Drosophila melanogaster: one gene and its partner. The gene in region 1 interacts genetically with each later gene. Each region holds a gene or a part of one and is shown on either strand. Other genes may lie near its edges. The genes, in order: Trc8 and CSN6.

What was found.
Region 2: of Trc8 (region 1) and CSN6, a change in one rescues a mutant of the other (synthetic rescue), as found in Drosophila melanogaster (one study listed by BioGRID).

The regions. Positions count from the first base shown.
Region 1 is NT_033777.3:29,498,222-29,505,483, forward strand, and holds Trc8 (TRC8 ring finger protein), read right to left. Parts: upstream 5,329-7,262; 5' UTR 4,905-5,328; coding exon 4,508-4,904; intron 4,053-4,507; coding exon 3,482-4,052; intron 3,268-3,481; coding exon 2,730-3,267; intron 2,673-2,729; coding exon 2,498-2,672; intron 2,293-2,497; coding exon 2,096-2,292; intron 2,038-2,095; coding exon 1,837-2,037; intron 1,772-1,836; coding exon 1,421-1,771; 3' UTR 804-1,420; downstream 1-803. Other genes in the region: FipoQ (F-box involved in polyQ pathogenesis), read left to right, coding at 1-10, 79-282, 342-477. UniProt on the Drosophila melanogaster protein: Plays a role in growth inhibition that is dependent upon COP9 signalosome subunits CSN5 and CSN6. May modulate signalosome levels or compartmentalization. Probably functions in the same or a related pathway to VHL during early midline development.
Region 2 is NT_033777.3:22,578,673-22,582,541, forward strand, and holds CSN6 (COP9 signalosome subunit 6), read left to right. Parts: upstream 1-2,100; 5' UTR 2,101-2,222; coding exon 2,223-2,603; intron 2,604-2,661; coding exon 2,662-3,306; 3' UTR 3,307-3,361; downstream 3,362-3,869. Other genes in the region: CG33110 (uncharacterized protein), read left to right, coding at 763-1,044; Dph5 (diphthamide methyltransferase), read right to left, coding at 3,533-3,869. UniProt on the Drosophila melanogaster protein: Component of the COP9 signalosome complex (CSN), a complex involved in various cellular and developmental processes.

The DNA of each region.
Region 1 (7,262 bases):
GCAACTGCAAGTAGGCGACACTATTGGTCATCGAATGAAAAGACATTTTATTATGAGCTGAACTTTCTTAACCTGCAGGATCATTGTTATGGGCACCGCAGAGAAGCTGGGCGTCAACATCCACGTGGACCAGCTGATGGACACCATCGCCTCGAATTGCGGCAACTTGGAGCGGCTGGAGCTGCGCTGGGATCCGGACAACCTGCGCTTCTCCGACAAGAGCCAGAAGGCCATCGATATTCTGCGCGTCAAGTGCCTCAAGCTGCGCTGCATGGTGCTCAGGTGGGTCTACATCAGACTCCTATTTCTATGCGGGATTAACATCAATATTTCGCTTCCAGCGATGGTCGCTACTATGAGACGGTCAAGGCCAACTTTGAGCGTGCCGATCGCATCACCGTGGTGCGCACCACCACCTGCTGCCGTGTGTCTCCCTATCACCTGCTCCGCAACTACAACGATTTGATTTTCAACTGAGCCTCTGAGGTTCAGAGCTGAAAGCCAAGAGAGGATTGGTAGCTTGCACTTACCCGGTTGCAGAGCTCTGGATGGGATTTACCCACAACAGGGCCGGAGGAGAAGCAATGTTTCTGTGTGTTTTCGCTTACAATAAGAGTGTTTTAATGTTTTCTGTATTTTCCGCTTCTTTCGTTTAATTACTTTAAATCTAAATAAACGTACATAGGTAATTTAAATAAAAACAAAACAAGGATTTGCTTATACAAGTTATTTTTACATTACAAAATTATACAACGCAACTTTTCGCCTTGCTCTCGTTTTTAAATCATTTTTTTTTTTTTTTTAATCATTTCAATCCGCGTTGATTCGTGTTTTGTTTTTAACTAGATTTACTTGGTAACTTGATTAAATCATTTTCAGACTTCACCACATAAAATGTTTATCGTTTTTGCGTTTTAGCGTTTTGCTGATGATTTTTACACTGCTTTCATCCATTGCAAACTTAATGCTAATTTAATTTTTTTTTTGTGTGTGTATGTTTCAACATTTTTGAATCGACTTTTTACCATAAACTTAACGTACATATGTAGATCATCTCCGTTTGAATTATCGTCTCATTGCCGATCAGCGTTCAGCTATTATATGCATGGTATATAATTTAGTTAAGCATAGCTGCGTGAGTTATACATACGTAATGTCTGTGCCTATGACGATATAGGATCGAAGGTGGGTGCTGTGGTCGAGTGCTGGGCATTGGTGTGCTGGTGTGTTACGAATAGATTGCTCTTTGGGCAGGGGGAATAGAGAAGCCTTGGGTCGCTACAAAGATTTGCATTTATACATAAGTACACTAACGCACAGAACGTTTCCAAGTCGTAAGATATATATATATATAAGAAACGCAAGGTACGCCGAGCGCTCCCGTTCCGTTCGATTCGGTCCTAGCCTACCCTATATGCGACTACTGCTGGTCCTGCGACATCCGGAACATGTGCGTCGTATTGCTGGCCGCCGCCGTGGCCACAGCAGCAGCCGAGGTGGCCGTCGGCGGCGGCGATTGGGCGGATGCGGTCATGTAGCTGCTGTCGCTGCTCCCGCTGGCGCTGATTCGGTGAGTGGCGCTGCTGCTGCTGGCTACGCTGACCAGCGAACGCGCCTCGCCCACAGCCGCTGCCGACTCCACGATGGCCGACACTGCCTCCGCCCCGATTGTCGCCGCTGCGCTGGAGGAGCTGGTGGCGGGCGCCTGTTCTGATGCTTCGACTGGAGCACGCTCCGGAGAGCGTCGCTGCGCAGCTGCGTTGTTGGCGTCCTGCATGTTCAAGGGAATAGATGTACATTGAGACTAACAACAGAGTATCCCCATTTGTTACTCACGTCTCGCGGGTATATCCGCATCGGCTGCTCGGCCTGGGCAGCTGGCGCTGGCTCCGCCTCCGGCGCATTCTCATCCGCCTTGTCCGTGTACATCATGATCTCGTGGCACAGGGGGCAACGATCCTGAACGTACAGCCATTTGCGCAGGCAAACGCCGTGGAAGAAGTGGCGACACCGCGTGATCTTGGCGGAATACATTTCCTGCAAAACGATAGTTGAGTCACGTGCAATATTGCATGCAATACAATACAATACGCACCTGATAGCAGATGGCGCAGACATCGTCGAATGCCTGCAGCTGGGCGGGAGTTGCCTCTGGCAGGGCTGAGATCTTGTGGACCGCCGAACGCCGCTTCATGAAGACCGACCAGCCCGCCCGCGCCTCGCACCAGATATTGAAGTAGGCGTGGATGCACATCATGATCGCTCTGATGCCGCCGCCTGTAGCATTTTGGGCTATCAAGTTATAGTTATCGGTACACAAAATCAACCAAATAAAAATATTACATGCACACATAGAACAGAAAAGCTGGACGCGGACAATATGGGCTCGATGATATCGAGATGGCTAGATCAGATGCCAATGGAATGCGGTGATGATCACTCGCGCTTACTGATGTGCTAATGTAACAAGGACGGGACACGCTGCGCTCCAACTTACCAGACTCGAAGATCAGAATCCAAGCACCGTTGATGAACAGCAGGATGCCGAAGCAGAACTCCACTGAGTTGCCGAACGCGCGCACATAGTACAGGTAGTCGTCCAGCTTCTCCCAGAAGAACTGCCGACGCGCGTCCAGCAGGAAGAGCGTGTAGGTGGCCAGCGAAACGAGAACCTGCGGGAGAAGTAGTAGCTGTAGCTCTTGAAGCGTACATATCGCATTCGCACGCACCTTGACGACGACCTCCACAGAGAAGGCGGTAACCGCTAGCAGCCAGGTGGAGATGGATTGCTGCGACCAGAGGTGGTAGAGCAGAGACACTGACAACACCACGAGGAACGCGCAGACGGAGAGGGCGCGCACATGGCGCTTCCGCGAGGGATTCCGTGCCGCACTGAGCGACATCAAGATGGGCGACACGATGTTGTGCAGGAAGTGCAGCAGAGCGGTCATCAGCAGGCACAGATTGCGGCACAGCCTGATGAAGCGTTTGTCCGGCGACAGTGAGGTCAGGCCCGTCTGCAGAGCGAGGATGTAGAAGAGCACTGCGGAGACAGTGCCCAGCGACTTCTCCTCGTCGTCGTAGGTGAGCAGGTACCACTGGAAGCCGCGTCCGATGTAGTGGCAGAACATCGAGATGACGCCCGTCATGCCCAGCACCGCCGTCATAGTCTCACAGCCGTCGACCAGCAGCTTCTGTGTGGCCGTCATTAGATCCAGGGGCTCATCCGATTCCGTCGTGGCCAGGGCATAGCCGCCTTGGATTAGTCTGAAAAGCAGGGTGTTCTATTCGATCATTATGCATTTAAACCAGTTAATCCGTTTGCTTCGGCCATTAATAACATAAGTCTCGGAATGGATATTCAATTCTGTGATTGATGGCCTTGTTCCATTGACACATTAACGCTCCAAATGCAAGAATTAGAATGTTCCACGTGCATGATTAACATAAATTAATGAACCGCTTCGGAAACGAAACCCACCTGATGGTCCAAAAAACCCTCAGAACGTTGGGCACATTGAGCCTCTGCCATTCGTTTTCAATGAGCGCCGACAGTCCAAAGTTGGACACAAAGTTCATGGCGTACTGGTATCCGTTGTAGACCGTGCGACTGGCCTCCATGGCGCTCTGCATCAGCGTGATCTTCGTGAGGATGATGGGCGTGAAAACGGCCACCACGGGCAGGTGTTGCACCACCTTCGCCGGCAGCGGCAGCATGGCCAACAGAATTGGACTAGCGAAGATGATGGGCATCGATCTCTGGACATGTTCGAACCTCGGTCCCAGGTGAATGTAGGCGAACAGCATGCCCATGAACCACTGGGCCATCAGATGCGGCGCCAGCGACATGACCACCCCGCCCGAGTCCAGCAGCCTAGTGGTGTTCAGTGACATGAGGTCCTCCACCATGCTGGGACTGCGCTCCGTCAGCGCCAGCGCACTCACGTTCGACCAGTAGGACAGGAAGGTGAGGCCCAGCGAGGTGAGGAACATGTAGACCATCACCAGGTGCCGGGTCCACAGCATGAAGATGCACGCGGCGGATAGGAAAGCTGCAAGAAAGCACACAGATTGTGAGTCAGGCATATATCTACGTTTCGCTGGCGTTCAAAGTGCGCCCAATAAGCGGCCCTTGGAATTCTGGATGACTTCGCAGGCAGATCGAAAACAATGAACTCGAAATAACTTAATTGCCTGTGTTTACGTTTTGGGTTCAATGGGAATGCTCAAGCTTGCAATTCACGCTTTTTAAGGGGTAACTAACTATTCATTCATATACATACATGGCCTTTTTGCTTGAGTAAGCATTATATTCGATTCTGCGATTACTTGTTATCTCAATTTAACTCATATCTAAGTTATTATGAAAGTTACTGACTAATCCTTGACCATGACGTGTAGTTAAATGTAGTTAAATCTCATCCCTGACCTTATATGCTGAGCATTAGAATTCTAAGCAGATATATAGATGTGACCGTTCTAAGCGCAACCCCTGTAGATGACTCACCGAACACGCATAAAACGAACTTGACCGTGGTGGTGCTGAGCACATCCGCCAGTGTTTGGTCCTTGGACAGCTCGTTCATCAGCGAGTTGAAACCGGAGCTGAGCATGCCGTGCGTTTTGGCCGCCTCGGAGGCCTTCTCGATGCTCTGTTCCAGCACAGATTGGGCGGAGGTGGTCATGTGGGAGAACAACTCCTTTATGCTGGTGAACGGATCCTGGCCGGATGGCACCGCTGGCGCTTCTGTGGGCGTAGCAAGTGCGCCACTGGCCTTGTCCTTGTCCGGATAGAGCCACGACTGCATGCCCATGTCCATCTTTAGTATCTCATCGATGACCATCACCGGTGGCACGCGCATCATCACGTCCACCAGGCCGAGAACCTTCGTCCGCACGGACATGGCTCCCTATATGTATCCGTAACCGTATCCCGTATCCTTCTCCGGGCTTTTGGCCTCCTCGCTTTGCTTTGCTGATCCCGCGTGACTAGGCACTAATCGCGAGCCAATCGAGCTCCAATCTGCATTTGTTGTGGATTCGCCTTCGTCTTGGATTTCGCAAAAAAACAAAAAATAGACGACGGAATGACGATTTGGCTGCGTGAGTGTGTGGGTGCGTGTGTGTGTGCGTTCGCATGCAGCAGGTGCAAATTCCCGCTGGCGCGTCGTGGAAAAGGTCGTTGCGGCAGGCTGCTCGTTTATGCTCCGCTTTTGGCCACACAATTGCGCTGCGCTCTAAACTTTACACTTTTCACAATTGGTTTTTGTTTTTCTCCTCTGCTTCTCCTCCTTCTTCAGCGGCCCATCTATCGATTGGTGCTGCTGCCTATCGCTGCGGTCGCCAGTGCTGCCCCGCGGCCCTGCTTTCGCCGGACTATCGATTGTCGTTGCCAGCTGATCGTGTGGCGCGCTTTTTGAAAATTCCCTCTGCCTTTGAGCCGCGAAACGGCGCGTGTTGCTGCGTGTCGGTCTGGGGTACTGGTAATTTTAGGTATTCTGTTCAAAAACTACGTTCTAAAGGGTCTGGTCTAGCCTTCTGTGTGCGATAGAGAGACACTATTGGGCAGAGTTTACTTTAACTTGAAGCCGATTGAGGTTTGGGTAGCAATTTGGTTACGACTTGTTGCTTCAGTTATTGTTGAAACATTTAACTGCATTTACTATTTAGTTTCTAATAGTTACAGTTTTACATTCACTCAATATACAGCCTAGGCTGGTGTTAACAGAGCTGTTAACTGATATGTCCAGTGTTGACTAGTGCTGCTGTTAACTTGGCGCGCTGTCTACGAAATTTAAATTTGTGCTGAATCCAAAAAGTAATAACTAGCAGGCTAGAATATCCGATTACGTAAGGTATTTCATTTAACATTATGCTTACAGAGGAACGAGCAAACCCCTTAAAACATTTCCTCTGCTCATATTTCCCGAAATGCCCGCAGTTTCTAGTTCTAAAAGCGAACATTTCCTGCATTCTTGCGAATGCGCCCAATTCCAATCCAATCCGTATCCGCAGGGCCCCGAAGTCATTTACGTGAATTTCCTCAATTGTTCGGCCATTAACTTTTGCCATTTGCCACCTTAATTGTTGTTCTTTCTTGTTTTGTGGCACACAGCCCCTGGAAGAAGCCCCACTCCCCCCACCGAAATCCACAACCCTTTTTGCTATGCAAATGCACAAATTGAGGCAACGGCAACGGCAAATGCGATGCAGTCCGCATTTGGGTTTCGTTTTGGTTTCGTCCCCAACGCAACGCTCGTAATTATGCGCAATTGTTTAGCGTTTAGCTAGGAAAGTTCAACTAACATAATTGATTTTTCATGCCGCGCCACAAGAATTTTAAACAAACTGCACAGGTCATAACAAAACAAACAGACGAGGAATGCATGTTTGTCGAATTTTTTGTGTGAGCTACGAGTACTTCTTTTAGTTGTAGTAGTAGTAATGATACATTCACTATTACTATTGTTATTATATTATAGTAAAAATTCACCCAAATTAGTGTTAGATAACCACGATCATTTTCAACTTTGAGAGTGTCTAAAGTTTATGCAATATTCGTTTTTATTTATTCCGCTAATTTGCATAGTTTTCTGAAGTTTTGGGCTGGCGTTTTGTGTTGCATACTTCGTGGGGCTGCAATGTGCGCACTGGCGATTTGAATTCCATTTTGGCAGGACGTGGACGAATAGCTAACACTCCCCGAGGCACTGGCCGCCCAATATGGGCCTCATATATTCAACATAATCAGTGTAATTGTCAGCGCAATGAGCCGGGGGAATCGCTGGGCTACTGGGAGCCCAGTTCGATGGCTCCAAGCATCCAGGATCCGCTCTCTTCGCGGGTCTCACGCACGGCAATTGTATAATTTATCGCTCCAGTTCTAATCGGCAGCTGTCAGGAGGACGCCTGAGCTGTTGGCCGAGTTGGTTGGCCAGGTTGTCTGGCCAGGCGAGTCCAAGATCTCGGGGGAACGATTTAATTCGCTGGCCATATAAGTCGGAAATTTGTACGTTGATTAACGCGCCAATCGTTTTACACAACAACGTACAAAGTGTCGATGGTCTCCCCCCCCCCGCTCCTCGGCGATTTACCACCGATTTAGACCCACTTTTTCAACGGCTGCGGCTCCAATCGCAGTTTCATTTCAGCCGTCTACGTGTGATTTCATTGCACTTGCAACTGCACAGCGAGAATATCTTTGGTCTAGCAGGAAACTGCACTTTGTATCGTCTATCAACGCTCAACTCCGATTTCTCCCA
Region 2 (3,869 bases), 6.9 Mb from region 1:
TGAGTGCTTGTACGATTAAAAGGCTAGAATCTTGTCGTCAACTCTTTAGCATGCAGTGGGTGTGGGTGCCATTAGATTATCTTATGATCAAACATTATCGGTAACTATAAAAGCCCATAACACGCGCCAAGGGGTCGCACAGGGGCCAATCGGAGCCAGCTTGTTGGACTGGGCTAAGCATAGCTAGTCAGCAGCTAGTTAATAGCCTCATATCACACTGACACTCCGGCTAATTCCAATCAATGTGCGCACATTGTAGCCGCACTGAGTGCTTTTTGATTGCCCGCCCAGCTCAAGGGTGCTCCACTGCCAGCCGTTTTATTAGCAGCATTCAAAGAGCTGTAACCCGGACTGCAAAAAGTATAAGTTATGACTCGGCAGTTAGGGAACTGGCTAATTGAATGACGTTACAACTTCCGTAACGAGACAAGCTCCACTCAATGCCCTTCGACAGCGCCAATGACCATAAAGAGGTGGGTCAAGTTGAGCTTTGATTGCGAGCAAGCCGCTCGAAGGAGGCGTGTGCTCTCTCTTCGGAACTTTCCCAGAATTCAAGCGTAACAAGTCTGTTTGCCATATGGTTCCCACAACCTTATTCTTAATATGTGTGATTAGACAAGACAACGTTAATCTGCTTGGACGCACGATAAAAATTACATCAACAATTAGAAAACAAGGTCTAGCTGTGCAACCTACTATAACTAGGGTATAATGAGTATATGATCTCTGTAAAATTCATATTATTTTTCCCTTTTTTTTTAGGCCCAGTTCGTGCTGTGCATCTTCCACACCCTCCGCGCCCTCTTCAGCAACCAGTGCCAGTTCTCCAAGTTCATCTCTGCGCTGCTCCTATTGAATGCATCCATTTTCTTCTGCCTCTTCATGAACTTCTACATGCAGAGCTACAGGAAGACCAAGGCGGCGCAGCAACTGCAGCAGCAGCAGCAACAGCAGAAGCAACAGCAGCAACTGGATGCCACGCCCTGCAAGGCGGACAGCAACAATAACACGGCGATGCTGGCGCAAAAGCTGAAAGCCAACTGAATTGAAAATCGAAAGCAGTGAGAAAAGTGCTTCCAGGGATTGCCCAACATTGGGGGGAACAAATTTTACATAAACGGACCAGATTGGTGATGGCAACGGACGGAACGGAAGTAGTTTTGGTACAAAGGTTTCAACTAACGCTAAGCTAAGCTTAAGAGCCATAAATACACGAGCGTGCACGCACACACACACACAACCACAGAAGAGAACGAAGAAGAGGAAGTCCGCCTTCCGATGATCGATCGATCGAGCATGGGGAACACGGGGCGTATGCGCAACATCAATTATAACTTGGCGATTATCCCCTCGCCAGCTTCGCTTGATTGCTTCGCTTCGCATCGCATCGCATTCTCGCCATCTGTGGCTGCATTCGCATGTGTAGAACCGTACAACAAACTGGGTCAATTTTCGAGATCTGCCTAATGTGTAAGTCGCCTAATTCTAGAACCTCACGAACGAAACGCGTTTAGTCTTTAATTCCCTTAGGCTAAGTGATTATTGTAATTGTAATTGTGTATAGACGATTTGTAAATAGCCTGTTAAATGTTAAATATTTGTAGTCCTAAGCCAACTAGTCTAACTTACAAAATTCGCACGAACAAATACGGCGAGCACGAAATTAAAAGCCAAGACAAATAAAAACGAAGAAAAGATAAATAAAATAAAACCGAAAACCAACCAACTGGGTTTCAATATGTTCTAAATTCACAGCGGAAAAAACTGAGCTGTATATTGGCAGGGTCTTTCGGTGCGAAAGAGATAAATAAATTTTAGAAACATATCAATTTTAGAAACTTCCACAAACGAATCTAGTGCATATTAAAAATATATGTAACCGAATTGACTAAAAATGCTTTAATAGAAATATATATGGTTAATTTGGCGCATAATTAAGCTAACAGGAATTACAAAACATAAATTCAAATATAGTACTCGCTAATACTATAATCGAGCCGGCAACGCCGACGTTCAGTTTAAAAAGGTTCGCGCCACTGCTTAGACTGCATAAGGTGTGGTCACACCATTCTGCTGTCCCGATAGATAGCGATAAGTAATATCGTACTACTGAGAGACCACCAATAACGATAACGACAGCTTATACCGGAGCTTGTCAAACAAAAAGAAGTAAAATTAAGTTTATACCGCAAACTACGTGTAAATAAAGGCCCCCCGACAGCATGGAGCAAATGGAAGTGGACGTTGACATGTCGGCCAAGCCCAGCACATCGTCCTCCGCCGCCGCCGGGAGCAGTATGGCAGTGGATAAGACTGCGGATCAAAACCCACAGCCGCAGGGAAACATAATGGCTGCAGCGGGCACCAGTGGTTCTGTGACCATATCGCTGCATCCGCTGGTCATAATGAACATCTCCGAGCACTGGACACGCTTTCGTGCACAGCACGGTGAGCCGCGACAGGTGTACGGAGCACTGATTGGCAAGCAGAAGGGCCGCAACATTGAGATTATGAACTCGTTCGAACTGAAGACGGACGTTATTGGCGATGAAACAGTGATCAACAAGGACTACTACAACAAGAAGGAACAACAGTACAAGCAGGTGGGTGTCCAAGCCTCTACATACGCTGCTTTACCAGCTGTTACTCTTTTTTCCCCAGGTGTTCAGTGATCTCGACTTCATAGGCTGGTACACAACCGGCGACAATCCCACTGCCGATGACATTAAGATCCAAAGACAGATAGCCGCCATCAACGAGTGCCCCATCATGCTACAGCTGAATCCGCTCTCCCGCAGCGTCGACCACCTTCCCCTGAAGCTATTCGAGTCCCTAATCGATCTGGTGGACGGCGAGGCCACCATGCTGTTCGTGCCCCTCACCTACACACTGGCCACCGAGGAGGCGGAGCGCATTGGTGTGGATCATGTGGCGCGCATGACCTCGAACGAGTCCGGCGAGAAGAGCGTGGTGGCGGAGCATTTGGTGGCCCAGGACAGTGCCATTAAGATGCTAAATACACGCATCAAGATCGTGCTGCAGTACATACGCGATGTGGAGGCCGGAAAGCTGCGGGCCAACCAAGAGATTCTGCGAGAAGCCTACGCTCTCTGCCACCGACTGCCCGTCATGCAGGTGCCCGCCTTCCAGGAGGAATTCTACACGCAGTGCAACGATGTGGGACTGATTAGCTACCTGGGCACGCTGACCAAGGGCTGCAATGATATGCACCACTTTGTGAACAAGTTTAATATGCTGTACGACCGCCAGGGATCCGCGCGCCGCATGCGAGGTCTCTACTATTGATATATGCAAACAATCTATTAAAGCTTCGGAGATAAATACACATAATCGTACGATGGGTGAATGCGGTTTTATTTCAGCTGCCGCTGGGCAGGCTACATACGTATACGGGTGGCATCAAGCGATATCACTTTCTTCCTGAGCTTCCAGCTCCTCTTGCTTCGTAAATTCAATTCAGATGCACAGACAACATTTCCTAGACACTAAATTAGGTAATTTCGCAGCGGAATTAGTGGTTGTAGTCGTCCAGCTTGATGCTGGGGGCATACTGCTGCAAGAACTCCACCTCCAGCGGATGCATCTCCTTGGCGGGAATGATGAGCGAGTGCAGCGGTCCGCCCAAATCGGTCGAGCGCATCTCAAGCAGCGTGCCAACGGCAATCTGCTGCGACTCCTGGCCAACACGGGCCAGTCCAACGCACAGTGACTGCTCGTTGAGCACTGTGTTCTTCTCCAGCGAGTCCTTCTTCTCCACAATGGACAGCAACTGATGAGCCGCCTCCGCCACGGTCATGAAACGCGGTGGCATGTACTCCTTGCGTTTGCGCATCAAGGACTCCGGCGTG